Drosophila melanogaster: one gene and its partner. The protein of the gene in region 2 interacts with the protein of the main gene of each other region in a pairwise test. Each region holds a gene or a part of one and is shown on either strand. Other genes may lie near its edges. The genes, in order: CG9304 and CG15153.

Evidence for each region.
Region 1: the proteins of CG15153 (region 2) and CG9304 interact in a two-hybrid assay, tested with the Drosophila melanogaster proteins (one large-scale study listed by BioGRID).

The regions. Positions count from the first base shown.
Region 1 is NT_033778.4:21,964,344-21,981,449, reverse strand, and holds CG9304 (uncharacterized protein), read right to left. Parts: upstream 8,329-17,106; 5' UTR 8,320-8,328; coding exon 7,580-8,319; intron 7,277-7,579; coding exon 6,700-7,276; intron 6,647-6,699; coding exon 6,576-6,646; intron 6,512-6,575; coding exon 6,222-6,511; intron 6,162-6,221; coding exon 5,926-6,161; 3' UTR 5,064-5,925; downstream 1-5,063. Other genes in the region: Gr58a (gustatory receptor 58a), read right to left, coding at 351-518, 571-1,590; Gr58b (gustatory receptor 58b), read left to right, coding at 1,778-2,791, 2,849-3,061; Gr58c (gustatory receptor 58c), read right to left, coding at 3,493-3,669, 3,727-4,788; CG34029 (uncharacterized protein), read left to right, coding at 10,278-10,622; ppk9 (pickpocket 9), read right to left, coding at 10,786-10,895, 10,961-11,000, 11,216-11,281, 11,846-11,937, 12,349-12,414, 12,606-12,784, 12,865-13,101, 13,165-13,449 and 2 more.
Region 2 is NT_033779.5:18,086,283-18,101,891, reverse strand, and holds CG15153 (uncharacterized protein), read left to right. Parts: upstream 1-9,635; 5' UTR 9,636-9,653; coding exon 9,654-10,423; intron 10,424-10,626; coding exon 10,627-10,951; 3' UTR 10,952-11,155; downstream 11,156-15,609. Other genes in the region: Slc25A46b (solute carrier family 25 member 46b), read right to left, coding at 3,848-5,200.

The DNA of each region.
Region 1 (17,106 bases), on a different chromosome or scaffold from region 2:
CGAGAATCAATGATTAGTCTGATTAACTATACTATAAGTTTTCTTGAAACTCATAAATTCATTGCAGAAAAGAGGATCGAAACTGAAATACATTTGATTAATCGCCGCATTTATTTACAACTTTCGTGTGGCTCAACAAATATTTTCTCTCAGTGTGCACACATGGTGTACATATGTACATTTATTGAAATTATTTGTTGCCTAATTTGATCCTGCTTCTGGGCGTCAAAATATATTATGATTTTTGACAATAAGAAGGATTTTGGCCAGCCAAATACATACATATGTACATAAGGAATTATACTTATGTACATATGTTATTTAGAGCTTAGAGCTTCTGTTTATCACTTTTAATTTCTTTTTTCAACTTTATTTTTTAAATCAAATTGTACAAGCACCAAAACTTGAACCAGCACATAGAAAAAATAAGCCAAACTCGTTTGCTTATTGAAAATAAATAGTCCACAGACCTTATACGTTGACGGATGACAACGAAGGTGATCCGAGAAAAGTTCCAGCTAAAAATGTATGAAAAATTTTATATCGTATATTTTACCAGAAAAATGCTACCTGCAAATGAAAGTCCCTTTTGACCAGCTCCAGATGACTGAATTCTCGCAGGAGGTCTCCCATTTTCAGGTCACTTCTCCGCGTCACGTCATCCACAACATTCATGAGCAAAACAGCACTCCAGTAATGAGAAATCACCACCCACTGTCCCACGATTCTTGTGTAACTTGAGGTTTCTATGGTATCGTTGCCAAATTGCACTCCATGATAAACCAGATTCACGTTTGTAACAAACATTTTCAGCAAAAGAAGGGCGATGGGCAAGTCAAAGGTTCGAAAAACTTCTCGGACTAATCGCTGATTTTCCGCAAAAAGTTTAAAGAGCTTAGCCAATTTTCCGAGGGATCTATTGGCCTTGTTTTCTGATAAAGTCAAGGAGTTGCGTTCTTCATGATTAAGAAAGGAGCACAAGTCCTTGAGTGCTATTTGAAGTCTCTCACTTTGCCAGTGGAGAACTAATAGGATCACACATATTCCCGTCATCATAAAGACCACATATATAAACTGTGTAATATGGGCTACAATCATTGCAGTTTTACTAATTCTTTGTACTGAATGAATTCTAAACAAAATTAAAGCCCCCAGCAGAATGCTGAGATTTGCGACGAGTAACATCTGGAAAAGTACATTTCGAACTCTTTTCCGCAATTTAGAATACTTCTTAGAACGATTATCCAGTGTTTTGCACTTAAGACAGTGAAGTATTAAGTTTTCACCCAAATTCAAGATCCTTTTTCTTCTGAACCACATCAGGAGAACGCCCGAAAACATGGCCATAATACGGGTGATGTTGGTTAGATTAAATGTCCATTTCAGGACTGGATTGCTGCTCATGTAGCTGTCGTCGTACATGTAGTGGGGAAATGTGAAGGGCAGGACGGTCAGTAGACCGCCGTGCAGGCAGGCCGTATAGATGAGGTACCATCTCTGCTTATATCCCAAAAGAAACTGTCCTTTCTTCAGAGGAGCAGGCATCAGACCACAGCCTATTCCATATATGTACATGAATTTCAACAGCATTTCGTACAACTGCTTCCGGCAAAGGACACCCGTCAACTGTTCTATAAAATCGATGGAAGCTCTGTTATCCTGATGGAAATCGGAGAACCTGTCTGCTCATCGTAATTCCATCAGTAAGCTTTATATCCTAATTAGTTGTCTGCCGCGTTTAGGACGTGGTCAGTTACCTGGCTGCCTTGACTGCAGCATGTTGCATCCGAAACTTGGTCGCGTGATGAACGTGGTCTACTACCATTCCGTTGTCTTCGCCCTAATGAGCACTACCCTAAGGATACGCTCCTGCAGGAAATGCCTACGCTTGGAAAAGGTCTCGCGAACTTACACCATCTACAGTTTCTTTGTGGGCATATTCCTGTTTCTAAACTTGTACTTCATGGTGCCTCGGATCATGGAAGATGGCTACATGAAGTACAACATAGTCCTGCAGTGGAACTTCTTTGTGATGCTCTTCCTTAGAGCCATCGCTGTGGTGAGCTGCTATGGAACCCTGTGGCTAAAGCGCCACAAAATCATTCAGCTCTATAAATACTCGCTGATATATTGGAAGAGGTTCGGACACATAACGAGGGCCATAGTGGACAAGAAAGAACTCCTTGACCTACAAGAGTCCTTGGCCAGAATAATGATCCGGAAAATAATATTACTCTATAGTGCTTTTCTGTGCTCCACTGTGTTGCAGTATCAATTGCTCAGTGTGATTAACCCACAGATTTTCCTGGCTTTCTGTGCCCGGCTCACGCACTTTCTGCACTTCTTGTGCGTGAAAATGGGTTTCTTCGGGGTACTGGTTCTACTGAATCATCAATTTTTGGTAATCCATCTGGCCATAAACGCTCTTCATGGTAGGAAAGCCCGGAAGAAATGGAAAGCTCTGCGTTCCGTAGCCGCCATGCATCTGAAAACCCTTCGATTAGCCAGAAGGATCTTTGACATGTTTGACATCGCTAATGCCACGGTGTTTATCAACATGTTTATGACCGCTATTAATATCCTTTATCATGCCGTCCAGTACAGCAATAGCAGCATCAAGTCAAATGGTTGGGGCATCTTATTTGGCAACGGATTGATCGTTTTCAACTTCTGGGGCACCATGGCGCTGATGGAAATGCTGGATAGTGTGGTGACCTCCTGCAACAACACTGGCCAGCAACTAAGGCAACTTAGCGATCTACCAAAAGTGGGTCCAAAGATGCAAAGGGAGGTGAGTGTGCTCAGCCTCAAACAAAATTTAATATATACTAAACAATATTCCACTTAGTTGGATGTTTTTACCATGCAGCTGAGGCAGAATCGGTTGGTCTACAAAATATGCGGAATTGTGGAGCTGGACAAACCCGCTTGCCTTAGTTATATTGGCTCCATTCTGAGCAACGTCATTATCCTCATGCAGTTCGATTTGAGACGGCAAAGACAACCCATCAATGATCGTCAATATCTCATCCATTTGATGAAGAACAAAACAAAAGTGTAAAGAAAATCATATATCTTATATCTATCTACCTAAATGTTCACCATTTATACACGGTTTTTTTTTTTACCTTGATATGATACATAAACGTAAATCAATCAAGCTTTCAGAACTTTACACGAAAATAGAAAGCTTTCTCGCAGCTTACAGGACTCTCAGTCATGGGAGTTTTATAGGATATCAAATTCGAATTGAAAGCTATGATTTTGTGGCTTTCTTGTATAGCGGATAATTTTAAGATGTCTCCAAAAGAGTTATGTATTGGGGCCAGCTAGAAATAAATACATACATATGTTCCTTGTTTTCTATAAAGCTTAAATATATAATGTTTTATATAAAATTTGGAAGATTTTAGCAGACCTTCGAACCCAAAAACATTTTGTCAAATTACTTGATATTGAAATTTAATTGGATAACTTTACACACATTATTTTTCAACCATATTTTTTATAGGCAATCTGACACAGAACTAACACATTGGTTATTATACTTCTGGTCATGTTGTGAACGGTTAAATTACTCAAATCGAACAATCCAACGATGTGCAGACGTCTCACACGTTTTGGATTCAGTTGAAGTTTGCGATTCATGTAGAGCAGGGAAAACTCTAACTAAAATAAAGCGTTAGTCATTATCTTTGCACTATGAATTCAATACAAAATATTTACCTTTCTTGACAGAATCGTTCCACTGCTTTTAATGCATTGCCTTCCCGAATAATTGATGTCCCACAGATTTCCGACATCTTCTAAAAGTCCCAACCACTTACAGCGGTTGATCTCGAAAATGGAAAATTGCATTACGATTTCGACGTGATGGGTCAGAAAAATAATCGCATACAATATGCCCTTCCATAAATGAAAGTTTTTATCGAACTCCAAATAAATCCACAATCGAAACAAAACAGCAATGCTGAATATATAAGTGGTTAGCAGGTTGAAGAGCACCTGCCACTGGAAGATGTCAACGAACTGCTTGAGCAACGCATCCAAACGGCGACAGCGTCTCCAAAGTTTTCGCCAGGCGGCAAGGATTTGCATCAGTCCCATCTCCCGCGGAATGCCATTCCGTTCGGGCAAGACCTCTAGATCTTGGACCATTTCCCGAACCCCCTGGGTCATATTTACCAGCAGCCAATTGCCAGCCACTTCGACCATATAGACTGTCATATCCACATAGCTCATTAATAGAATCATGATTAAGGCATACACTATGGCAGCACTTTGGTACGGAACCATAGCTTGTCTCAAACTGGAGTTACTCTCGCAATTAACCACCGAATCCCGGGTCAACAGCTGCTGGGTTAGGAGCACAAATCGAGAGCTGGTCAGCAGACCCTTGCACAGGCATCTATTCCTGCAATCGTTTCCAAGGTTAAATCGGAATTTGTGCAACATCTTCATTAAGTCGTTTCCCAACTTATACAGTCGACGTCTCTGTATCCAAACACTGCTCATTAGGAAGAGCATGGTCAGGAGTTTGGTCAGAGCCACCACGTTGTAGACCACTCCAAACATGCCCGCATCTGGACAATGGTAAATGTTGCCAGTTAGCACGAACAGGGCAAATGGAAGGACCAAGAGATAGACCACATTCAGGATAACACAGTAAACCACTGTGGGCACATGATTGAGGATGAACCGATGATTCGAGGAATCGTAGTGCAGATTGCAGAGTCCTATCAAGCGGCTCACTTGAAAGTAAGTATGCAGCAAAAAGTATTGATTCATTGTTCTGGACGTTGAAAGCGAAACTAAAGCTAGAATTGAATCCAACATAATAGTTGATTTTAAAGCAAACTAAAAGGACTCCAGGGACTTTCTAAAGGACACGCAACGAACGCAACAGTGGGACTCACTTGCATCAAGGGTTTTTAGCTATTATTATTTATCTTCTTATAAAACGTAGAAAAGTATGTTCATGCTTAAATGTAATATTACTTAATTAAAATATAACTTCAAAACTAAATAAAAAAATTAAAATAAAATAAAACAACTACTTATATATGAAAAAATTTGTATTTTCAGTTTTAAAAATTATAAATTAATAGGTTTATAAAACGGTTAACTTGAATTTTGATATGAATCACGTGTTGTATGGTACAATGAGTTTTATAGAGTATTGAAGGTTCAAATGTAAAAAATAAAAGTTGTTCGTCGGTCTACTTATCAAAAAGCAAATCAAAGTAGTTATCTAAAAATTATTCATTTATTCAGCTATTTTTCGTTTTGCAATTTCAAGTGGTTTTAGCTCGTGTGTTTGGATTGTTCTTATCAAAATACCTCTTGGTTGCTTATCTTAGTAGGTAGTCGGTAGTTTGTTTAAATGTAAGCTTATGCATAAACTACCGCAACGAAATGATGATGCTGAAGCGTATTGTATCGAATCGATCTCCTATGCGTTAACTAGAAACTAATTATAAATTCAAGCATATTACATAAAATCACACAACAATCTCTGGTGCATTCTTGCACTCGCTCTGACTTCGTTGTAAGTGGTTACACACTATATGGAATATACACTCAGATAAATTTGTGTCGAGATAATGGTGGGTCGATTTTAAAAACTCAGCTCAAGTCAAAAGTCAGTTAAATGTTAACTTAATTGTTAACTAATTGGAATAACTAAATTTGTTTACTAAGGGAGCGACTTTTTAGGAAACTTGCTGTGTCTCAAAATAGCTAAGCAAATACTTCAGTTAAAAAAGCAGAATATCGTTTTCGGCCAGAAAGTAGTACTAGTGAAAAGATTGGAAATATCAACCCACCTAAATCTAGCTATATGTATGGTTTATGCTTAGGATGAATAACATTCCGTGTTTCATTTAGCACAATTGACATCTACACCTAGTAATTAACCCGTTGCATTTACGCCACAATATGACTGTTTTTGTTAAGATCGGTGAGCAGCTCCGCGTCGAGGTCTTCAGCCTCCAAAAGATCGTTGCAGGCATCGCCGTTTAGCGAATGTGGAATGCTAGTGGATAGCACCATCCCCCGACTCCCCGTACCAACGGCAATTTCATCGGGCGGCGAATTCCGACGCCTCTCACGCTCCCTGACAATGTGTGGCGCTTCATTGAACTCGTCCAACTCATCCATGCCTTAAAAGGAAATTACCTTATTAAATTGTCCGAGTTCGGTTATATCTCAACCGCACTCACCCGCATATTTGGTGCCCGCTAGGAGCAGATATTGGCCGGCTCTATGTGGCCACAACAGACCTGTCATCACACAATAGGCCATGCAGTCCGCCGAGTTGGTGATACCTTGCAGCAACTTGTAGCGCCACATGGGGCTGACCTGCAGCGCCACAATTGCCACGATGGGTAAGTAGATAAACCACACCAAACTGGAAGCGCCCAGGTGAAGTAGAAAGTCAAGTTTTTTTGTTGAGTGCTCGTACTTCATGGTGTTGCGGAGCTCGTAAAGAAACCACATCATAAAGGAGGTGCTGTCAATTTAAAAAAACAGTGAGTCACGTTCATTTTTACAGCCAAAAAACTTTAAGGGCCTACCGTAGTATTAAAACTATCCAGCCGGGCCACGTCTGGTATTCATCGATGTCGGAAACCACATCGACTTCCGTCTGAAAAACATTTGTTTTTAATGAAAGTCTATAAAGCTTATTTCACATCTTACCCTATCCCAGATGTAAAGGAACACGTGGAACGCGCAGTATGGCACCCAGATGGACATCAGAATTATCCATCCCGTTCTGCTGATTTGCTGTCTGGTAACTGCCCATCCTTTGGCCAGCAGCAGCAGAATTAACATAAATGTGGTGCGGCTCAAGATGTCCAGGACATCTCCAGCTGCCTGCAATCTTGGCTCGCCCACTCCATTGGCCGCATAGTGAATCAGGTGAGCGGTGATCAGAGCCAGGCTGACGAACTCGCTGAGAAGACTCACGGTAAACAACTTGGTCACTGGATGCTTCTGCCGCCGCACCGCATAAATTTGCATGGGCAGCAGAACAATGTAGACGAGCAGGAACACCAGGTACATCTCCAGTAGATTCTGCTGATCGTACGAGTACTGGTAGGTAAGTGGATGTGCGGCCGAGTTGTTCGGATGCAAGTTGACCAGATGTATGTCGTAGTGCAGCGTGTTGAGGAGATTGCTGTCCAATTTACTTAGCCTTGGCAGGCTCTCGTGCGCGTGCCACTGGCAGGTGCTTTTGTTTTGATAACAGGCCACCAGGGAGAGGTACCAAAATCTGTCAACGACGCGGGGGACAACAAAATACATTAACCAGTTAAAACAACAATGCTTCTATGGAAAAATAAAATTATTCCAAGTCATTTCCAAATCAAATGTTATCTCAGTTTTCCGTTACAAAAGAGGAATGCCGCAACAAACAAACAAAGATATAAGGTTTCATTTTATCTGCATGGAGCCAGCTCCATACCAAAAGGCCAATATATAGAGAGAATGGCAGTCTCTGAAGATGAATTGGGTTTTTTTTTGCAATCCAATTCTTATCTTCCGAATTGTAAGCCCAGAAAAACCCATAACTCACCTTGGTTCCGCCTCCAGGTTGATAACGTAGGTGAACTGCGATCCCGGGACTACGTTTCCGGGTTCATCTTCATCGCTGCAGAGCTGATTGACGGGACAGGGAACATGACGCAGGAAGTCCCTTTTGGCACGAGGATTGCACGTGGAATCGTAGGCGATCCTTTGGAGGCGGGAGAACATCCCTGTGCAGGCGGCTTCCCGGCTCCTTTGACTGCGGTTGCCGTAGAACTCGAGGAAAGTCCTTCTGTCCAAGACGACGAGTGTCAAAGGAACCGCATACTTATCCGTCGACGTGACATTGCCGTAGATATATCCATAGGCATTGCGCCGTGTCAGATCTGCCTTGTTGAAGCCGAATTTCGCCAGGAACTGAAAGAAGTCGCCCGTCTGGAATTGTCCGCTGATGTGGGTGGCATTGCTCGAGGGAACAGCTATCAAGATAATGATGCAGATGCATCCCAGGAGAATAGTCCTGCGATTGCAGGCCCACCTTTCACTTCTTATCAGTTGTTGTTGTTGTTGTTTGTTTGCAGCCTCTTCCTCTTCTCCCAATGCGGGATTCCCGGACAGCTGCCACTCCATTCCGGATGCCACGTCGGCACAGCCCACTCGCCAAGGAGGCGCCCCTTTGTGCATCGCTTGCAAGTTGGCACACCGAGGTCTATTTTTATTTTTGTTTTGCGGAAATTTCCACACCACAAATCCGCAGTCGCTAGTGATGCCAAAACGGCATCGATGCATTTGTCATCGGAGACCGATGTTTCTCGCGATAATTTAGCTTGTTTCTTGATATCGATTTGTTAGCAGATACACACTCCTGGCTTCTCGTCTAGCCGAGACAGCATCCTTCACTTTTGGGGAACTTTTTAAAAATGAAATATACAAAAGCATTTAAAAAATAAATAAATAAAACCTACAGAGTAAGTTCAACTGTTGAACAAATACTTTATATTTAAAGGGAAGAGGATGACTCGCAAATTTTAAAATTTTAGGGTATACAACTGAAGCCCGAAATTATTTTAAAATGTGTAACTATGAGTTAAAAAGGCATTTTATATAATTAAATATGTACACATAAGAGCATTAAATTATTATCAAAAGTTATCGATTTTAGTATGCACATTTTCAATTCCCTTGTGAAATTCACAACAATAGCATACAATTCTAGGATTAATGAACAATAGAACTCTTTAGAAGTTACCCAAATGGGCGTCTCATCTTATCAATTTCTTATACATTAAGCCCTCACACGCATGCCAATGGCAATTTCGAACAATAAATTTTCATAATTCCCAAATTTATGCTGTAAAAAGTGCCACCCTTTCAGCCCCAAAAACTTCAAAGTGCAAAGTTGGATAATACGTATGTAGCTACCGGATGCGTCACCCTAACCCCAACGAACATCCCTTACGCTTTATTTATTTAAAATGCAGCTCGCGGTGGCGGGAAATTCTCGTGTGGATTGTGGCTTGCCACGCCCCCTTTTTCCCATTTCCACCAGACAAGGTGCAAAAAATCCACACTCTTTGACAATTCCTTTGAGATTTGATTGCGGGAGGGAGACAGGTGAAGAGTGTGCGAAAGGGAGAGTGCGGTTTTGCATAAAAATATGAAGCCATTGAAATGTAGATTTACCCATTGTGATGTTGGCAGATGAAAACTTTGATTCCTTTAGCAGATCAGGCGAAGCTTACAGCAAGTTATGTATCCTTCCTTCCCTCGATGACCCACATTTTCGACCATTTTTCACTCATTCATTGATGACGCTGCAAAAACGAAGAAGGACTCGCCGAAGGAGCAGCAAAAATTCATGAGTTTTTGGCATTTGTTGACAGCCACAGTTCACTCAGTTGTGCAAAAGTCAAGACAAACACAATAAATGCGATTCTAGCAATGGAATAATACAGTCAAGCATCCCTAATTATATATTTACTACAATAGATATATATTTTCTACAGAAATTTTAATTGGCTGTGCTATTTTAATTCTATAGCGTTAAGATACTGGAACTCCATCTCTGGTCAGTTGATCCTTTTCGCTTATCGAATCTTGCCTGTACTCGCTGGCAGGCCAATAATAGCTGAAGCGAAATAACTTACGACAAATTATTCGGCAAATATTAAGCACACATAACATGTGAACAAGTCAGAAGTTCATTTCAATGTCTGCCGACGACCCCAATAATAAAATCCGACAAGGTTGGCAAAAATACAAAAGGAGCGCAATTTGTCGTCCCTCTCTGACGGACTACCGCCCTCTCTTTCCCACTGTCCCCGTCCCTTTCTGTTCGATTGTAGAAGCGAAGCGAAGTTCATTGAAATGCCAGCGACGAAACATGGACAATGAAGGTTCAATGATGGCGAGGTGGAAAAGTTGGGGAGTTCCTCGCCATGATTTCCGCCAACTTTGCACAAAGTGTATTTTATTTTTGATTAGGCCGACGCAACTGTTTTTGTTTGGCCAATAAAAAAAGATGACTGGGCAGTCGGCGTGATTAGACAGATACACAGATACAATACAAAGATCGATCGACAAAGCCATGACTTATTTTAACACTAAACGTATTCCTCCAGTCGAGGAAGCTTTGATTTAGATTTCTCCCAAGTGCTTTGATCATATAATTTTGGTAAGATATTAAAGGTTGGTTTTTGACCTATTAATCTTAAGCTTAATTATGTTTCCCAGCCTGATTTGTGGACATGGAATCCCCGGACAACAGGCTGTACATGTGCACCGCGTGCTTTAAAAGGTTTCTTTGGAGCGAACTGTCGAGGAAGGAGCTCCGCTGCGCTCAGTGCCGTCTGTCAACCAAAATCTGTGTCATTTGCGATAAGAAGTTTGAGCCGCGCGAAATGTCGCAAGTTTACTGCAAGCAATGCAATTTCTACATCGAGAGACATGCCGTAGTCAAGCCCCCTCCCTTGGGTGTACAAATCGGAAAACCAGCGGAGATGACCAGTGGGCCAGGTACGGAAGGATCTTCGATCACAGAGCGCTGGAAGGAGATTAAGGCCGCCGCTGGAATCGTGGATGACTTTGATTGAATCGACATGCGTTTTATTAAAATTGATGTATCATCTTATGAAGAAAGATAATTGCTATAAGTAAACCAATATATTCATTTCCCTGATAGTTCAATCTTATATTACATGTATTTTAAGCTGTTTATACTACTATGTTTTAATATAATGAAAATTCCAGAAAGAATTAATCGAAAAACATGCGTCGAACAAATCGTGCCGTAAAGTAGTAGATAATTTCCGTAAAGCTTAAGGCGCTGCAGCCCAAGAAAAATCCAACAAGACCGCCGATGTAAACTGAAAGTGAAATGCGAGCGTTCTTAAGTGAGTCGGAAAAACTTTGGGCAGGAGGAAAAACTCACCCAAAACATCTGCGAAGGAGAAAAGGACTTCCCGCCGTAGCTGCATGTTTGGGTATTTGGGTTTCAATGGTTAATAAAAAATGAACAGTAATTAAATGTTAAACAAAAATATTAATAAGTATTAGGCTAATAACAAGGTGTTTACATAACTGAACCATAAACCGAGAATTAGTTTTAAAATGAAAGATTTCTTTGGGAACCATTAAAGAAACATATATCATAACCAATTTACAAATCCTATTGATTAGCCTTTACCTGCATTTTTGGGTGCTCCAAAATACCCCACTGCAAATTGGCTCCCAAAAACCAGACACGCGAACGCTATGGAAAATTCGGGAAATAGAGGGGAAATAAGGAAAACACATAATGATACGGTATATATATAAGATAAGAGCAACAAAGCGCAATGGGAACAACATCATCAGTATTCTGGTAACAAGGCAAGTAAGCAAAAATTATTATTAAATGTAAAAACTTTCGCCGCACACAGCGCGAAAAAAAGGTAAACAAAACTTTTGGTTTGCCGCCCCTTTTCGTACGCCTCATCCCCAAAATAATTGCATATTTCAAGGCTCCCAGTTCCTGCAACTTCTGCGCTTATTATTTTTTATAGCCCCGGACTACAATTTTGATGTTTGTTTAAGGCACAAGACCCCGCTCTCCGGCTCTTCGGCTCTCTCCCTCCGGCGGATTTTCCCCAGTTTTCCGGGCATTTTTCCACTTGAAATGCGCGACGCAGCGGCGTCTGCAGTTGCCACTTAACGAGCGCTAGATGGCGCTTCTGTTCGCCATAAACATTTTTACAGTTAAAGTTTACTTTATATTTTTTAATAGGGGATTTGCCATTTTTTCATTTATTTTTATTATTATGTGCGATGTACTTACATAGGATTGCACAAAGAAATTGGAATCATCACAGTTGGCCAAGCAGTTGCAATTGATTTTGTATTTGTCCGATTTCAATGAGATTATTTCGCCTGAAGGAAAAAACAAAAGGTTAATAACAATTTATATTATGTTAAGCTTTAGGTATAGGTAACTTTAATCAACTGCTATTTAGTGAAAGCATCGTCCATATAATATTTATATTTTTAGATATTATACTTAATATTCTAATAGAACACAAGCTTTTTGTTCAAAACATTTATCCAGCTTATCAACGTCAACCTGTCCGTAATCTGGTCTCCCCAGCAAATTACTTCCCGCTTTTCAATTACGCAACAGGTTGTCTATTTCAACCTTGACTTTTGACCATCCTACGGAAAATTAAATTATGGTCACGTTCTGGGAAATTTCAGTCCATTTTTTTATTCAGACGAAAAATGTAAATCGAATTTCCGGGCCACGATAAATATTTGCATGTTCCCGGTGCGGTGGAAATTACTCACGTTTAATTTTGACCAGGCATCCGATGCCCTCCAGTCCGCAAACAGGCAACCGCCGGCCATTTCGCACTGGAAAACATTGAAGAAAGAGACGAATGGAGTGCACTGGAGCGGGACAGATAATAGTGCAAAAGTTGCCACTTAAACTGTGAGTATTTAAGCATTTTACGACCGAGTTTTCGCCATAAAACTGGACAGCTCCGATGCAACCCCGTTCGTCGCATAAAAGTTAACTTTAATGGGGGCCAATTAAGTGCAACTCTGTGTACCGAAAATATGATTATACCCACAGCGGTTCCTGTAGAAGTGCGGAACGCAGCCGCAGACCCGCAGAGCAAAGAACATCCTGCACTCCGAGAGACAGAGGCCAAAACTGTAGATGGGCACCGTCATCATTTCCTCGGCCTCGTAGTTGAAGCGGCAGCTTCGCTGCTTCGTACTGAAACTGCCAATAAATAAATATGTATATTGAAAAAGAAATATATTTTGAGCCTAAAATTTAGCAATCTTGAAACTCACGCTCTCGCCTCCTCATTCGTAAAGATCTCCAGGGCGATGAGCTCCACGGTGGTGTAGTCACTTTCCGGGAATGTGTACCTTTGCTTCGAAATACTCGGAACATCGCCGGCACCGTGAAAGTAAACATCGTAGGCGGTCGATAGGTTAATAATCTGCGCGTAGATCTCGCCATCCAGCGGATGAACAGTCACCCGGTCGCCGTGGTCCATGAGACTCCAGTCGCCGGAACGCCAGTAGCTGCCAAGTGGCCAAGGAGAAGGCAATCAAATCGGGAGCACTTCCTGCCCAACAATTACTCACTCGAAGGAATTGTAGCGCGCCACCATCGAGTTGACTGAATGGCAAATGCCAAACTCCGTTTGCGTTTCGTAGATGAACATTTTGACGGCGGCGCCGCTGCTGATTTCCGGCTCGAAGGCCCATTTCAATTCGTAGAGCAGTTCCAAGTACTTGGTGCTCGGTATTCCATACGACTTGTTCAGCGGCAGTGTCTCCAAGTTGTCGTAAGTGAGGCTGGCAAGTTTCACAATAAAATCGCGGAAATCCTCTTGATCCTCCTCGGACAGGAATTGGTCGGGATGGGCGCTGTACGGGTGCATTGGGGAAAAAATGCACTTAAATGTGGTATACCACATATTTAGGAAACTGAATTTTTAACTCACAGTATGTACTCCTCCACTTTCAACTCATCGATCCGCTTATGCGGACAGACTGTGAGCGATGGAAAGCTGGTGTTCCAGACCAGCTTATTCCGATCCATGGATATAACCATTGGCGAGGTCTGAAAGCGATGCCAAGTGCGTTTGCTCAGCGAAATGATACTGAACAATGCCACGCAGATGAACGCCAGCCAGAGAACGCTAAAAAATGTGAAATAAATTCTATAAAAATCGTAGTGAAAATTCGCAAAAATGCGTCACACTCTGAAATGATATATGGAATCTGACGAATAATTCGCACTGCTGTTGAGTGTGCATTGTGGCGAAAGGACATAAAAATCTATTGCGTGTAAATTTTTTCTGTTCGCATTATGCGAAATATTCGCGGCGAAAGAATTATGGCCAACTCGAAGGAGGAGTCAATGAACGCATCAACGCTTTTGCAACCCTTTACTGGCTTTTCTTTCAGTTTTCCCATTCGGCTCGAATCGCCACAAACAAAGTGGCAAGGACACAGACAGAAGTCGCCGAAAATCCTTTGCTGAATTTCCCATTTCAGGCGAATGCCTTCTACAATGACATTTTGATGCCAGCAATGGCTCATAAAGCTTTCAGTGCGCTCACACACAAACACTCGGCTACTTGGCTTTTAATTTTCCCAAACATTTTCCAGCTCCTTATTATTTTTGTGTGCAGCTTTTCGCTCTTTTCTCGTCCGCTTTCTTTTTGTTGTTGGAATTTTCCTCTCTGACAGCTGAGTGCTGTACTTTGTCTAACACCACAAAATTCCTTTCGGACATCGCATATGACAGACTCATTGTCATGCCCGCACCCATTTCCCCGCCCATTTTCCCATTTCCCCCCTCGCAACTGCCATTTTCCATCTCGTGTCGGTCTGGCCTGCAATTTATGTATTTGCTTTGTTTCATCATCTCGACACTCATATGCATAAAATGTGTGCGTGAATGAGGCCGAGTGATGCATGTTGGATGTCGAAAATATCTCGTTGGTAATTCGAGCATCAAGGGTTGCTTTCATACTTTTTTGTGGATTGGTGGATTCTAGAATGCCCACATAGTTTCTGGCTGAGGTATGCAGCTGAAATGTGTGTGTGTGTTATGGGATTAATAATGTCGAAATGCAAAAAACTCTTAAATATTTACAAAGCAAATCGAAATTACAATTCTAGAGCCAAGATATCTTATCTGGATCTTTTAACCCTTGGTATAAATTCAAAGCAAATTACCAAAATAATTGTAAGCATTTACATATAATATATTATTTCCTTGTCCCTCAACTCTTTTACATTTTTGTTTTGCTCGTTTTAAAGAAGCTATGTTAATTAGTGGGTGGATGGCATATTTATGATTCAAAGTACAGTCGAAGTGAGTATTTGTGAAATTTCGAATATTCCAATGGAGGGAAAATGGGACCTAGTTCAGAGCACTCGAAAGCCCAATGCCCTGCCATAGATTGCAGATCCCCGCATGAAAACAGGGCCCTAATCCTGTGCATCCTGCGCCGCTGCGTGTTTTGCATTACATTTGCAGTTTTCGGTTGTGGATTATGCAATCGTGCACCTGTCGCTGCCACCCAAAAGTACGAGGGAGTGGCGTTTGGGAGGTGGAAAAGCCCTCATAGTTACCATATCAACGCTTGTGAAATTGAGGTTATCACATGTCAGCGACACAGACTCTTTCTCTCCGGTTTATGCATTTCCACTTCCCTTTTCCCCAGCTTGTTTTGTACGTGAGCGGTGCTTTTCATATTTTTTTTGTGCAATTGCTTTGGATTTTAATGGCGAAGGGGGGGGGGAGAGCTTAAGCCGGGCTTGTGCTGGAGTTCTTCATAGTCCAGAAATTTGTGCGTCACAAGCTGATTTCTTGCCATAGCAAAGCATACTTCTCATTTATACTTTTCTTTCAGGTAGCATGGCGAAATAAATCCAAACTGCGCCAGATGGAACTCGTCAAAGGCATAAATTTCTCGAGAAAAATGCTCTATAAATGTCCAACAAATCATTTTCACGAAATGAGCGGGGGAAAGTGTATTAATTAAGCCCGGCTTTGCGTGACCGCCTACCTTTCATCTGGACTTCACCTTAGCCCCTCGGATCTCACTTCTATTCTGGGAAACACCTGTCAGTTGGACTTTGGCTGTAGAGGAAACTAACAATAATTGTAATTGAGCTTCATGATTTTAGGGGAGACTGTAATGCACTCAAAGAATACGAAGATGTGTTATTTAATAAAAATATGTTAATAGTCATGAAATGAATATAAACTCAACTAAACGTACCTAGTCGATAAAGTTTTTTCACATAATTGTATATTGAAAATAAAATATTTAATAATTAAAATAGTATATAGGTTATTCTCTCAGTGCCTGTTTGGCCCTGTCCTTGGCCTGGCTGTTATCCACTAATTAACCCTCAGCCGGCAGTCCTGACAGATTTCCCACGAACCACCGCATCCGCATCCTGAGCCCCATCCACTCGACTACTTTGGTGGAGTGTTGCCAAACGGAAAAGGGAAAGGTAGCGAAAGCGGCGGAGAATTTCCCCCCCCCCCCACGACCCTCACAGCTAGTGTGTGTGTAATCCTGTTTGTCATGTCATGTCAGTTTTAAGGATTTATTGCACCGCACAAAAATACAAATTCCAGCAGCAGAAATATTACTTCAGACCACAAGATCCACCTTCCCACATCGACCGCATAAAACGGAAGATATGTAGAAAAATGTATTTCGCTTGGAGAACTTTCATGTGGGGGCTCGGCACGACGCACTTCCCCCTTTGAAACAGCCACGTTATGAATCCGATCCGGAATCTCTGCACGTGGCCACGCTCGCTGGATAGTCCTTTTTAAGACCCCGACTTATAGTTTGGTATCGTTTTAGTTGGCACTTTACGGTTTCTAAGCGGCGAACTTTGGTTATCCTGTGCCAAAGTTAAGCTGCGGTCTCTGCTACTTTCTGGCCGTAATGAGGTTTAGCTTTAATTTCCCTTGTAAATTAATTGAGTGGAAATATTCTCACACCAAATATTTGTCCAATGCATGCGGGTTAAGGAATACATAATATTCCTACTTTAGTTCTAGTAATATTTACAATATGAGTTTCAGTCCGCTCTGTTCTTCATTTAAAAGCCGATGGGAATAGAGTCTCCATTGTGTGTCCAATTCCATTACCCAATGGAATCCATTGGCGGATTACAAATCAAAACTCACCGTTCGACGAAACTCAGGCCGAGCTTGGCCAAATAAATGAATCCGTGTATGGAGGAGCCCTGCAGGAACTCGATTATGAAGGCCTGCCCTTTAACCAAACAGGCAGGACGGCAATCCTTTCGCTTTTGCCGATCCAGGACCTCCATTTCCTGCCCATCCTGCGCGTGATCCTGTGGCGGTGGCTGCCACAGTGGAGGACGACGAAAGGAGCGAATGCTCCTGGCGGGTCCTGGCTGATTAATGGCCGCGTTCCCGTCATTAGCTTTTGCAATTGTTTTGCTGCCCGTGCTGCCATTTGGATTATGCTGATGTCTTTGACCGGTGCCGGGAAAAATCAGCAATCCAGGACCTGGACC
Region 2 (15,609 bases):
CAAATTCGCGCTATCATCGCGAAGTGCTATCGGCGTCATTCATCATGCGCTGCCAAACAATTGACAACAAGGACGAAGAGGACGACGAGGCGCCAGGACACTAAAATCCTCCGAGTAAATCCAGCATTTACCTGCAAATGAAACTTTTGAATTTTGATTGCGTTGGCGTTCACATCGCGTCGGTGCCGGAGTTCATTGTTATGTTAAAGTGCTTTCTTTTTATCTGCTCCTCTGCTGAGCCAACTCGAACTGCGGTGATGGAAGAGGTTACGATACCTAAATCAGTATACAAAAGGTTCTATGGAACCTTTGGAAGTAGTCTATATAATATTCAATGCCAGTATACGTTGAAATATTAAAATAATAATTTATGTTTGAAAGCATAATTTATTAGCTTGCCAGATAGACAAACAAAACTACAATATGAACGTATTTCCTAAAACTCATTTTGTACGTGAAACAGGTACAACTCTTAGTGGAACGGATTAACAAATCCTTGATATAAAAGATAGCAACATCACCTCAAAAATTTCATCTCTAACAGTTAGTGAGACAGTGGGTGTGCTGTCAGTTCGGGCACTTCATATGCAAAGTATGATCCACCTAATGCGATTTATAGCGCGACTCCTTCGTGTAAGCTGGAAGAGAGGGAGTGAAAGTAAATATATATTGGGCAAAGAGTGCTGAGTAAACTAGATGGAGTGGGTTTGCAACAGCTGCGAGCCGGGTACGTCTCCATATATGTACGTCGGACTCGTTTGTTCCGCCTGTCATGCCCATCATCTCGGGGTATCCAGCCATACAACCATCCTACTATCCTCCCATGCTGCCATGCTGTCAACCGTCAACGCTGTCGCCTTCGTCCTTTGCCTTCGATGATGCTGCGCTTTCGGTTGCGGCGATTATGCCGAGTATGCCATTGTTGCCTCAGCCTCAGGAAATCCATTTGAAATCCCCAGTTTAGTGTGAATTTATACGAAGAAAATTCGCTGTTCTGTCTCTGTTTTTCTATCTGTTTCCGCTGCCCTTTTTATGCTTTAGCTTACCCCATAAACTTGCTATATTTCGCTGTTTTAATTTAACGCCAGAGGTAGAGATTGTCTGAAAACGAAAATCACCTTCTTCAAATATTCCCCATTTCCCTATTTTTATCGCCGCTATTGTAACATAATTGCTCACGAAAGCTTCCATTTAAAGCAGATTTTTCATTTTTTTGGATCTCAATTCGATGGCTGAATCGCTGGACGAGGGCCAAAGCAAGCTCGGGCACTCGTGTCGTATGCGTAATATTGTTAGCCATTGTTCTTCTCTCCGGTAGTCCCAATCCCCGGAGAATTTTCACTGACGAGTGTATGTCCTTGCGCGGAGGAGAAAGTGGATGAAGGATGGCTGCGTTATGCAAGCATATATTTTTGAACATGAGTGCCGGCGAATGAAAGCAGATGTCTCTGCAGTTCGAGCAAGGAAAGAAAATGTTGCATATTATATTAAAAATTTTTAATTTAACCAATAAATCTTTTTATCTTATCTATGCGCAGCACTTTTTTTAAACTAACTGAATTATTGTGCAATTTGAAATAATAATAAAACAATTCAGCTGTCGTCAGAATGTCTACGATTTACAGAAATATTGTAGTATCTGATTCAAAAGAACGAGGAATGGAGCTCAGCGTTGAAGTGAGAAAATGGTCTCTTCAAAGTTGTCCGTCTGCAAGTTAGCGACTCATTAGCAGCTACTTAAAAACTACTCGAGTAACAGCTGTCAGGTATTTGCACTCACACTCGCTATTCAACTCTTGCCACATTCTCAACTCAAGCAAATTGGCTGCCAGGTTTTATTCAGAATGTCGCATGACGGTGCCAACATGTCAACTGAACTCCATCCAGGTAAACTGACAACTTGGGTCTCCGGGGTCCAACAACTCGGGTTCCAGGTTCTCTGGCGGTTAATTAAAAAACGGAACACTGCCTGTGCGCACACATAGGAAAAAGTGTTGAGGTCTCACTGCTGGGAATAGCGAGATTTTTGCTTAAAGCTGATGAAATATGGCATGTGCTTTAGTGGAGAATTGCACTTCATTTAGTCCTGGCTCACTTCATTTTTTTGGCTCAACATTTGTGCACCTGTCAATGAGCTCATTAAATTGCCATTTTGAGAAGATGGCGTAGAGGAAATGGAGCTTGTGCCTCGCTGATTACCAGCAAGTGCTTAAATTACTTTCTTTTATTTTTCTTTCGCTTCCAAAGCAAAGTCGAACTGCATTTATAATTAAATATGTCTGCAGTTTCACTTACTTTACGATTTCAGTCACTTTTTGTAGATTCTTTTTGAAACCCGAGAGAATTATTTCTGTAAAATGTTTAAATGATTATGGTGATAGGAACGAGGTCTGTAAATATATAAAAAGTTGGCAAACTTTCATTCGCAAGTCCATTAGGAAATGGTGTGAAACGATAACAAATGGAGTTTCGAAAGGTGATTCGAAAAAGTGAATTATATGTATACTTGCTTGCAGCTTTAATAATTTGCGGAACTATTTTTGGTGCAGAACGTAGGAGTACCCGAAAACAACACTAAATAATGAAAAAAATAAAGTTGTAGTTAAAGTCCAGCATTTAAAAAGCAATATTCCTTCTCTTTCGCTTCTGATATATAATTTCCTGACAGACCAATAAAATTGTCACATTTCGCAACGTGTCCCTGACAGTTGTTTGTGGCCAGAAGCTTCGTCTCCATCTCCTTCTGAGCCTGGCTCAAACTGTTTGTTGGGTTGGTTCTTTATTGTTGGCCGGGACGAGCGGGCACCGCCCGGTCGATGTTGTTTTTGGGGTGCATCATGCATCATTGAAATATGTTTTTCGTTTACAGCTGCTACAGAACACGACGAGGCCGACTGCAAAAATATTTTAGCAGCAGGGGCAACGGCATCATCCTGCGGTCCAACCACGATACCGCAGCAGGCGGCCGAACCGAAACCAAACATTCATAAAAAAAGGCGAAACACCAGAGGCAAAACCTTCATTAATCTTATTCAATGTCCGGCACATACTTTAACCCATTCCGGCCAACGTACATACATATATGTTGTGTGTTTTTTGGCCGCAGAGGGGTCGCAGTATAAACAATTTGCACATTTTAAGTTGATTTCTTTGGCATCCTTCGACTCACATCCTTGGATCCTGGCAGCAGTCACGCGTTGCATACGTGTGTATTAAGTATACGCCGTGTGGTGTCCTGCGAATTGGCTTTACGGCTTCTGGGGGCACGAAGCAGCAACTTTATGTGCATTACGTGCACACAAACAACACATAAAAACGCAATCCTAGCGATTTCGAGTATCTGCAGCACATCATTGGAAATTGTAATTTTAAATTATCGTGGTAAGTTCCACTGCCCCTCTGAATGTGGGCCAAAAAACAAATAATCGGAGAAATTGGGAAAACCAATTGACCAGGACGTATGCATAGATAAATAGTAGTTGAAAGCCTCTAAGAGTCAATAGTGCAGTGGCTGCACATAAATTAGCATAGGACTGGCCTCAGTACACCTGCAAAGTATTTTCCTAATATTGACATTCGCATACGACGTGTGGACCAGCTGGCGTGAGCTTAGATTGGCTGGGAAACACTCGCAGTGTAGTTAATGAACCAATTTTAGATTTAATAGCCAATGACTACTTAATCTTGTTTAGTTGTCGACTTTGTTTAAATGGCAAATACCAACCACTTTAGAAATTGTAAATTTAATTAGCAATCATTTCAGGGTTGTTTCCTAAGTTTCATCGCACAGTTCTCTATAAAACAATATAAGTGAATATAATACATTTTAAGATATACAAACAGGTCTTTATTCATCTAGTGAATACTTTCCTAAGCTAGTCAGTTCCACATCGATGCTGGAAATGCTTGGCGATTTTGTCGTAGAGCTCTTGTTGCAGGAGAGGGAATCGAAATTGTAGGGCTGTACTGTGCGGGATGTTGGACGATTCAATATACCAGCAGCAATTTGATCCGCTGTCCACTTGGCCAGTTTTATTATAGCAACCTGTGCGACAAATTGAAGGATCATTGCTCCGAAGCCTTTGTAGAGTCCAGCAGCTCCCTCTGAAATAACGGTTACCCTGTAGCAATCGAATAATCCACGATAGTCTGTCAAAACCGGGACAACTGAATAACCAGTATCAAGATTATCGATTATGGTTCGGGTGCCCTGCAGTTCTAGGCGATGCAATATGGTTTCGAGAGGGAAGAATACAACCTCAGTGGTAAGCATGGCTATAAGTCCGGCATAAGTTTTCGCATTTTGGTTTTCAAGCTTATTGTCGGGGTTTTTTTCACATCGATTTTCCAGCATTCTCCTCTGCATCATTCGAGTGGATACGCCATGTATTAACAGGTTGAAGAGATACTTTGTAATGCCAATCGAAATACTCGGACCGATTAATGCCCAAGTTGGTAGCATTCGAGTATTTTGCGGGGACCTCCATGAGAAAATGCGAGCTCCACCTTCTCGAAGGACATCAAAAAGTCCTGTTTTGTCGCTGGCAATGCCGCTTTGCACTGTCTTCACCAAGGAAACGGTGTGGAAGGGCAAAACCAAAGCGATGCTTACAGATTTCAGAAGGACATGCTGGCCAAATCGCTTTAAGGTCGTTCGACTATCCAATTCCTTGGGCCAACTGCTGAGTTTCGATATTACATCGTCAATGGCGCAGGACATTCCACGAACAAGCAAGCAGCTGCCCATTCCCTTCCATAGTGTCGTTAGTCCTTGGCGTCTGTGCAAGTGGACAATACAGGGCAGCAGGGTAAAAGGATGCAAGTGGTAACACTTGGAGGCATTATAAACCTGACACTGCCAACGCAATACTAGAAACGGATGGCTCAACACATGTTCCGTGAGCAGAGAAACCCAATGAACTCCAACGACAAGATATTTGCGAAGTGATTCATCCTGCTCCTGATTATCTAAATATTTATCCAGCTTGGCATGTTCCGAACTAAGATATTGGATTTTGGCAATGGCATCCTGGTCTGCATTTATGTTTTCCACAATTGACTTCTCGCGGCAATCGATGCTGTTTTCCAAGGGATTCCTAGGGCTCCAGGCTGGGACTAAGTTGCATGTTTGCTCCTCTTTTTCAAGATTCTTATCAATGAGTTCTTTATCCGTGACGAGCTTGAGTTCCTGACATTCCATTTTATTAGAGGGGATGTATTTATCTATATGTTATCTTCTGTGTAGAGCTGATAAACGTGTTAAACATATCTAAATATAGCACTATTATAGTTTAAAATCGAGTGTCTGTAATGACAGATAGTGGTGAGACTTCTACTTTCCTTTTATTTAAATCGTTCAGTAAATAGGCATCTGCGGCAAAAAATAAAAATAATGAAGAATTTCATATGCATGCTCAAGTAAGTGGAAACACATTGAAGGACCCTAATTTTGTGAGCATCATTTTTCATCTCCTCGCGAGGCATCCGCGCGAAATTTTAAAACATTTCCCCCCTTTAAGCAGTGTCTATTGCTTTCAAATCATCCTCAATCTTGTGGCTTGCGGTTGCCTTTAGTCTGCGGAAATCAAAGGACACATTGTGCGCCGCCTGGCATCAAGTGCATCATGTGGCAAGCAAAGCCGGCAACAATGTCATTGTCTCCACCAGGGACTAAGGGGTATGGAAATGGGGGGTTAAGATTGTCATGCACATTATGCGGGTGTAGGACTTTGAATGAGGGGTAGGATCTAGGTTGGCACCCAACTCCAAAGTCACAAAGTCAATTCATTGCCTCTGCAGACGACGCACATAAATAAGCCAGGCCGAGCAAAGTTGGCCCAGAAAAAGGCTTTGACGAATGGGTGGCTGGCAAAAGTGGTTTTTGGTGGCACAGTCCGCTAGTTGATTGCGCATTAATTTGTGAGCCAGTCTGTGGAATCCCTTAACCATTGCCTCTAGGTTGTCTGAGTTATTATTTGCTTAAAGTTTTCTCCACTCAGCTGGGAAATGCACAAGAGCCGAGACTTCGAGATGCACTGAGAGCGGGAGAAAACTTTGAAAAGTAATAACAATGGCCAACTGACAGAAAGTTTAATACAATGATGATGTTGATGGCTGGAATGCATTAAATTAAATACAAACGAAAAGAAAGCAATTCGAATCAACAACGAGCTTTGTTTTCGACTGCCTTATTTGCATGCAGTTTCTAGTTTGTTTTCCGGCTCTTGTCAACATCATCCGGGAAAACTGATATATATATATATATACATATATATATAAGTGTGTTCTTCAGTTCGCATTTTCCATTGCGAGAATTCAAACTGGTTTCAAATGATCAAAATATTGTGAAATAAAATAAAGGTAACTGTGTAACTCCTCTGTTTTAAATACATTGATTTCCATTGAAGCACACATGTTTGTTCGGGGCAAGTTCAAGTTCACAAGCCATCGCGCCCCATAAAGTGTGCAACATAAATTACCGAAAGTCCCGAAATTCTTTCCCAGAACGTATCCTTTCGTTTGTTCGGTGCGCTCTTAATGCGATTGCATTTAAATTTATAGCGCCGCCAACAAAAGTGCTGCATATTCTTGCATATTTTTTCGGCTTTCTCCTCTTTTTGGCACTGCAATCAGAAGTGTTTGAGTGCCGGAAACAACTCGTTTTCCTTGACGGCAGCAGGGAGCAACACGTCGCTGTTTCGCTGCCTATCTGTGCGGTATGTTGATACTGTTGTTGCTGTTGTTGTGTTGCAATTGTTGTTGCTGCTGCAAGTTGCATGCATTTGCACTTGATAAGCAAACACGAAGGAGCGGGTTGGCAAGAAAAATCAACACGGTCCGGGAAATATGCATGTTCTTGTTACCGGTAGATTTCCATTTTAGATGGCAAAGTCGTCGCCGTGGCGTTGTTTATATTTATGATTTGGGCGTGGCCCGCCCTTTTGCCAGGGATGACGAGTTGCCGTGCCATCTGTGCATTATGCAAGCCAATCGAATGTCACTTAATTGGCTTTTTATGCGGCATATTTTAGTGATAGACTCGATCAGGCGGTGACACAAAAACTGCAAATGCACTTAGGAGTTGCAAGGACATTGTCATAATATTCGTATAGCACCGCTATTAAACGAAAAAGCCAACAGCAATAAAACTATAAAGAGTCTCTGACTCTTTCGTGAAACATAAGCATTCAAATGCACGCGGAAAAATATAAAACGTCTTTAAAATAAAAGTACATTTAAGAAATAAATGCGCTGAGAAGGAAATACTTTTGAAGAAATGGTATTAAACATGAACGTCATATGTCATATTTCATATACCCTATTTTTGAACGTACTGTTGTCTTGCATTTGATGACCCCTGTCGGTGACTTCATTCTCCGAATGTGTGTGTTTCCATGCCTTTGACGCTCAGCACCTGTAGTTTAATGTCGTATTCGTTCAAGCTCCAGCCCACTTCTGCAATTTTCTCGTACATCTTGAGCCAAAACAAAACAAGTTGTTGATCACACAAAGCTGGCTTCAGTCGAGAACAGAGCACGGAAAACAGGAGCTGAGCCAAGAGCCTCAGCCCGAACCGAAACTGAACAGGCGTCACATCTTGTTTTTGTGCCGGGGGCTCAAAGGTAACGCAAATGGGCACGACATGCAATCAGGGGGCGGGCACGGGCGTTCAGGGGCGTGGCTGCGGGTCGAAGGTGGCCAGGACTGCCGCCAACAACTAAAACAAAACATTGACATAAATACGTGAGCGCTGCTGTGGCTGCGGTTACAACAAAAGTTTGTGTTTTTCCTTGGTTTTTCGCTTTTTTTTTTTTGGCTTGTGAAATGCCCTTGGAAAGTAGGTATTACAAATTGCTGATGAAGTCTGCCGGGAATATATGGCTGAGTGGGTATGCAGGATTGGAGCGAAGTTTTTCTGGTGTCCTCGGGTATGGTTATAAAACTTATTTAAGTGTTTTGCGGTGGGTGGGTAAAATGTTCTAGATTTTCGAGAAAACTTTTTCAAAAATGATTCGAACAAACTTTTTATTTTATTTTAAATGATTTGTTGTAAGAAAATACGATTTCCGCTCAAAGTATTTGGTTGCTTATAATGGAAATATCAAAATTAAGTTTTCGAAAATTGAAAGTAGAACTGAGCTTACAAATGCCAACTATGAATTATAAAAACTGTGGCTTGTCGAAAAAATATTAGTTAATTGATAGCAAAATTACAAACATGCCATGCCAGCTTGTAAGTTTAAAATGTTTAATTATTAATTGAAGAGCATACCCTGTTTCTTGAATAACCCTCATAATTTTCCTTTTTTTATATTTTCCATTTTCCTTTCTGCAAGCTACGTTAGTTTGCTCACTTTTTCCACCTTGTTTTTGCTTATTAGTACATAGTTTTCATTTTTATGCGACGGCTGCACGAGCTTTTTTGTATTTTTATATTTATTTCTTTTGAAGGTTGCTTGCCGCCTGGCTTTGTTTTTTAACTGGGCTTGTACTTGCGCCATAAATTTTTAAAACTTGATCGCGAGTGTGAGCCATGGTGTGCATTGTTGATGTTCTTGCCGCACTCGCAGGCCTAGAAATGCAGAGCTGAAAACTCGCTGCGAACCATTTTCCCGCTGTTTTATGATATTTTTTTGTCGCTGTTGATATGTTAATCGCGCTGTGCATGCAATTTTAGTATTATTTGGCCATTTGTTTAATTTTAACGCCAGCTCGGCGGGTATTTTTTGTCACTTTATATGCGTTAAACGTAAAATTTAATAGATGTTGCACGAGCTTTTTAATTTTAATTATAGGGCGCGCACAAAAAATGGTAACCTATGCCGCAAATTATGTATTATGTAAATTGGCAGCAGGGGGCTGTACCACATATGCTCTCCACCATTTGAACACAATCAAAGGTATGCTCATATAAATGCCTCGAATTTTATTGTTTTACGTGCGCTGAGGTCCTTTTCGTTGCGTGTGTGTTGGTGTGAGACCTCATAAGTGTTGTAGGGGGCCATAAACGCCTCTCTACCTTTATCATAAAATGTGCGTAAAACTTCCTTGTGGCATTTATTGATAAAACGTTTGGGCAATGAATTCCTATTTGAAGAGAAGGCTTAAAGCCGAAGAGAACAAATGTTATCTGCCGGAAGGTGAGGGTGCAAACTGGAAGATTGCATGCCTGACGTGTCTCCCCAGCGCATTATTTATTCGATAATTATTACCGAGATAATGAAGGAAAATCCCACTTGGGCCAAATAAATTGGGTTGAGGGAAAAGTCCTTGGAGAGCGATATTTATACGAATTTATAAGTATAATTTCTATATATACTCAAATATTATATTTAAATAGTTTAATTTATTTTAAATATTTGGGGACACCTAATAATTAGAAGCAACTCAGTCTTTTTGCACTCGACGCTGAATCAGCGAAGTTGGCTCTGCTTTCGTTTACCAAAAATTTCATAACCGCGACATGGAATTTCCAGGGACGCATCGCTGTCCAAATACTTTATCGCCAGCAAACATCTTGTGGGCCTTATCGTCGAGTGTCAATGGCAGTTATCTGTCGATGGATACAATTGCTCTCAGAAACTGATATAAAAGCGCTGTTCAGCGAAAATTTCCCAATCGAAGTTCGTACCCCCCAACGAATTGGACCCGAAATGGATTTCCACCTGCTGATGATTGCACTCGTGCTTGCACCAGTCTTTACACCTGTCCACTGCCAGGTGGCCTGCAATGCGAGGAGCGGCCCTGTCCGCCAGAAACGCATCGTTCTCAGCAGCCCGGGAACAGGTGGGCTGGCCGAGTTGGACACTTGCCAGTACCGCGTGGCGCCGTGGAGCGGCCAGGTGTGTCAGGTGCGCGTTGATTTCGAGCGTTTGGAGCTGCCGCAGCCGCAGTTGAATGCCAATTCCGGAGTGCTGGAGTGCGTCGATTTTCTGCAGATACAGCATTTCCGGCTGTGCGGTCGCAACAGTGGTCAGCACTTGTATATACCCATTCGCCGGGGTCAGGAGCTGCAGCTTCTGTTTCGACTGGCCACGTCCCTCGGCAGGCAGTCCACCTGGCAGCTGACTCTCACCCAACTAGAGTGTCCCAGGGACTCCGCCAGGGGTGTAGGTACAAGGCAACCCGAGGTGCAAACACCCACTGTGCGACCGATTTTGCCCTTTTTGGGTAACTTCCTGCCGCGGACCATCTTTGGCGGACAATCTGGAATCGGCTCGGGTTCCGGTCCCGCTGCCCAGCTTATCCAGACTTTCACATCGCCTTCAAGTGCGGATCTGGAGATGTTGGCACCTCTGGGCTGTGATCAGTACTACAGGACCACCACTGGCGGAATAGTGAGCTTCAATTTTGCAGGTGGCGTCTATATGCCCAACATGAAGTACTCGATTTGTGTCAAGGGAGCGGCAGACAACGAGATAAGGTGAGTGAGTCACCACTCCGAATATATTTCACACGCTTCTCGCCGTATTCTAGTCAACATTTATAATTGTCATTCATTGCCGAATACTTCTTTTTTTTGTGTATTACAAATGAATAATGTTTTACTAGTTAGTACACAATAATTTCGTATTAACTATAAAAATATAATAATAATGTAATATTTCTCGGCTTTCTCCAAAACAGCTACAAGATCACGCACTTTGAGCTCTCGAAGGCGAACTCCGAGCAGCCAGGACCTGCCTATGACACCGATTGCCGCAGTACAGTGCTGACTCCGTTGCGCGTATCTGACTATGTGAGCATTCCCGATGCATACATGGTCGGCAGGCCAGAGCTGCAGGCCACTCACTACTGTGGCAATGGATTGGCTGGCCAGGAGCTAGTGGCCCGGCCGCCTTTTGTCCTGCGATTCGCCAGTGATTCGCAGTCCAGTGGATCTGAAACGGGCTTCCAGCTGACCTACACGGTCCGGCGGTCACAGGATTCCCTGGTGTCCACAGATCTGTAAATTGGCATAAATAAAGCCGGCAGTCTTAACTAAATCAACGCACACAAGTCAACTGGAATTGACATTATTAAATGCAGCAGTGATACTGGCACTGTGAACCAGGACATTCCATGGCCACGGATTTGCCTTAATTAAATGCCCGGCTCCGGCATTAAGTCACATGTATCTATATATGCAAATAAATTATGGAAAGCCCAGTGGCATATATGGCATGTGGTTGACAATAATGGCAAAATGCGTACGGGAAACAGGTTCATCGGAATGCGGATAGAATTTCATAGTTGATTATTTTGATGTATGCTTAACAATAATATGCTGAAGCAATTTATTGTCCTGCTCTTTCGAGGTGCGTAGGAGAAAATAATGCGAAATGGATATTGTCTTTGCGCAGGGCTCGTATTGCATGAAAGTGAGCAGATATTTAATTGAGAAATTTAATGGGTGTGCCATTTGATGAATTTCCGATATGTTGCATATACTTTACGATTTGGTCAGTCTTAATTTAAATGGAATTTAAATGGAATGCCACTGCTTAGATTGAGACTTAAAAAATAATCTTATTAGTTAGGAATACTTATATATTATATATAGGAATACTTATAGAGCAGTACCTAGCTCAAAAACATTTCGAGTACAACTATTTGACAAATAAGGTTTACTTTCCCAAAATTCTTCGAAATATTTTGGGTTCTCCCGTGATATTTTTAAATAAAATAACTTCGACAGCCACGTGCATATTTGCATTTATAATTGCAAACTGGTGTAACTTGCTTGGATATTCCGGTGCAGGGACAGCCATTCGCCACCCCCTCAAACTTTTCACACGAGCCGGCAGGAGCGGATGCAAAAGCTTTTCGGGGGAATGGGAGCCGGAACGCAGTGACATTTTGATGCCGACACAGCTGCCACAATTGCCAAGCCATGTATTTTTAATGAAAATTTAACAAAATTTCTGCGGTTTAAGTGCGAAAATTGTCGAAAGCGCGCAGAGCAGGTGGCTGGGCTGATCGATAAACATTTACACATATTCGGCGGAAACGAACGCGGAAGTGCGAATTTTTGCGATTCAGTTGATGGAACACATATGCAAGCTGCTGCAAAATGTTGAGCAAATAGGCCTTAGGCCAAACGGATATGAAAAGGGATAAATTCAGCATTAAAGGGGACATTGTTAAGTGTCTGGTAAACAGAATGAAATTGCATTTGCATCGATGACCAGAACACTGGGGAAATTGCCTTTCAAATATGCATAGTCATATGCTCCGACACGATGCCAAACAATGTGAGCCAGCTCTTTTGGTCTGACATCGACATCGACATCGTCTTCGACTACTTTCCCTCTCGAATTTATGTAGTCTCCTTTTGCTCTGGAAAACACTTTTGCTCGCTTAACGTTTCTATCCTGGGGCAAATTGTTTTTACCCGACCAGTCGACAAAAGATGCTCCAGCATCTTGGACCATCTTCCTTTGGGCCACCTTTCGCCTCTGGCTTTCTGCCAGCTAAAAAGAGAACTTTAAGCCTGGTCATAACCCAAACTGAAAAGCCAGCTGGGGAATGGAGCTCGCCTTTCATATGGCACTCGGGCTTAATGGTCACTTCATAAATGCAGGCAATTTGGGAGCTCGGCATACACTGCGTATGCGTAATGCAACTTTGCAGCTGCTAAAAGCCATGATTGTTGGCCTGGCGCAGTTTTAATTGCGGAATTTTCGGAAGGCAGTGCGATAATTGCAATATTTCATTTTATATTGGCTTCTAGCTAAGTAGCCGCATATTTGATTACATACTGTTTTTTTCAATTACCCCCCATCTACTATCAGTTTACAAACTTTATATTAATTTTAAAACTATACTAGCTGGTTTTTATTTCACGTTCGGAAATGTTGGCCAACAGAAAACTATAAACATAAATTGTTTGGTTGCCAATCTAGCCATAGTCAGTTTTGGGAACACGGTGGGGGAGTAAAATTCCGGAATGTTTTTTAGATTGAATTTTTAAATTTTTTCCCTCAACACACACTGGACGATTTTTTCTCTGTTGTTTTGGCGTTAGCCCGAAATGGTCTATGTTTATTTAAGCATTTTCTCACTGCAGATTTCCCCTCTGATGCTGTCAACTTTCTAACATCTGACCCAACGCCAAAGGCCCAATGCAATTTACGCTGCTAACAAAACATAAAACAAGAACCGTATTCATAGCACATTGCATAGAAAATTGAAACAAACATTCCCAAAAATAAAAATTCCAGATGCGGTTTCAACATTGTAGTTACAATGTCACAAATTATTAATTGCTAACGGATTTATTTATTGGTGGGCTGGCAGCTAAATTTAACATACATTTTTCACAATGCTTTCATAAACTACTTTGAGCTTTGCCAACCTCTATGAAAATGTAGAAATATTTTATGCAGGTATTTCTATAGCAATCAGCTGTAAATGTTTGATAGGGCTCTGTACTGTTTACTCAAAGAATACTAAAGTAGGTTCAAACATTAATTTAATGTCTGCCTTATCGCGGCTCAAAACGCAGACATTTTAACAAACTTAAATGCCAATTAAGTAACATTAAATTGTGCGAAAAATGAATCGGCACAGAACACGTCCTTGAGCAGAGAGAGACTGTCAACAATGACAAAGGAAAAAATTAAGCAGCTAAACAGGGTTTTATGGACGGTCGGCAGAAATAAACAAACAAGTCGGGTCCAATGGAACCTCCGGAAAATCTGTAAGCCACGGCAACATGACACTGGCCAGCTCACACCAAAAAACACACTTGGACTTGTCCCTTATACAAAGGACCAGGCCCGAGCCCAAGCCAAAGCCAAAGCCAAAGCCAGAGCCAACAACATAATCTACGGGTTGTCAGCAGCCCAAAAGACCATAAAGGCAAGGCAAACGAGCTGAAGGTCGCCGGACGAGAGGGGCACCCAAAGTGGGTGGAACGGGAGGAGCAAACAAATTAGTATGCAAGTCAGGCAGCCGATTAGGACACCGAAGTTTTCGCGACATAAACGGACGGCAGGCCACAATGGCAACATCCCATCCCATCACATGCCCTTCATGCCATTCAAGCTCTTTTTTTTTGGTTTTTCGGATTTAGCCAAAATAATGAAGTCGGTCACTGACGCGATCTGTTGCTTGTTATGCCTAGAGAAAAAACCGCAGGTTATGGTAAACACAGGTGAGTCAGGTGTTTTGATTTCTTGATACCGAAGTCGCTGCACAACTATTTTATAAAATGTTTGTATATTATACATAAAAGTGCATTTTGTGTTAATTTATCTTCAAAGTAAAATATTTATTTGATTATTGCTGCTAACAATTAGAACATGACGTCCCTCAAGAATATAATTCCGAAAGAATATTTATAACTGGGTATCATACACATTAAAAAGGTATTAAAATGTCAGCTAGTCTTCGCACCTTGACAAGCAATTTCCAAAATTAAATGTTCTTGTTTCTGTTCACAATTTTCAGCTCTACAGCTGACAGACTGCCTCTTTTTGTGTTATTTTGGGTCCTCTGTCGCTTTTGGGTGTTGCTTAAATATTTCATTAAAAATTCCACGCACAATTGCACATTGCTGTGGTTTCTTGACCAAGCATAGAACAACCTAACTGGAATAAGTCCATGTTTAATCTTTAAAATAACAGTGGCTAGAGAATTTTACTGAATTTAAATCGAATTACTACCACAAAATGGCTACTGCAAAGCGTTTAGTGTCAAAAGAAAATGTGTCTTACGAAGAATGTAGCTTTATTGGGAGGAAGTTTCACATTTGCGTAAATAAACAATAAATTTCACAGGCTCAGATGTAAATCAAACTAAAAACAGATAATCTAATAAAATGGTACAAGTTGAAGCCGAGCAGAAAAATGATAAGCCACATGTGCTCTAAATTTTAGTAAAAATGCTATGCAATCCTTTCATTTAACCTCTGTCAATTTGTCAACACATTTTCAAATTAAAATGATCAAGAATTCAAGAATGTTTTATTACTATGAATAAAATAGCATGGGTTTCGTTAAAAAGGAAATTCTCACTTGGGCCCAATAGCAAAATAATTTGAAAAATTGTAAGGATAATTCACTGGAATGATCTTAAGTAATTTGATTTATATGATAAGATTTAAGAAATAAACACTTTGCAATTATTTATATTGGTTTTTATATTACAAATAAAACATTCTTATTAAAGTACTTACTTTATTACCCCAGTTTTCTTGGCCCGACAGAGATTTTGCTAAAGTTATGGCCGACACATACTGGCAGTCATATAATTTTCATATTTTCATACATTGTTTAACTTGTTCCTTCGCCCTTTTCGTGGGCCACGAACAATGTGTGTGCAAAACGTAAGTTTGCGTGCTTGGTGCATATAAATTAGTCGCTTATAATATTCTTTTGGCATTTTTCAAATTTCCAGTTCGGTATTTGCCGGCTCTGCCTGGTGAAAGAGTTCGTACGCCATAAAGTATGCAGCTTACGTGCTCAAGGATTTCTCCCTTCCCGCCTTCTTAGCATAGCATGAACGAGCAGCAAAAAACAATTATTAACATATTAATAAATTTTAGCATATTTGAAAGGCCATAATTTAGTGTAATTCTAGATGCCTGCAGCTGGGCAACACCTGAGGGAAATTGGATAATCCAGC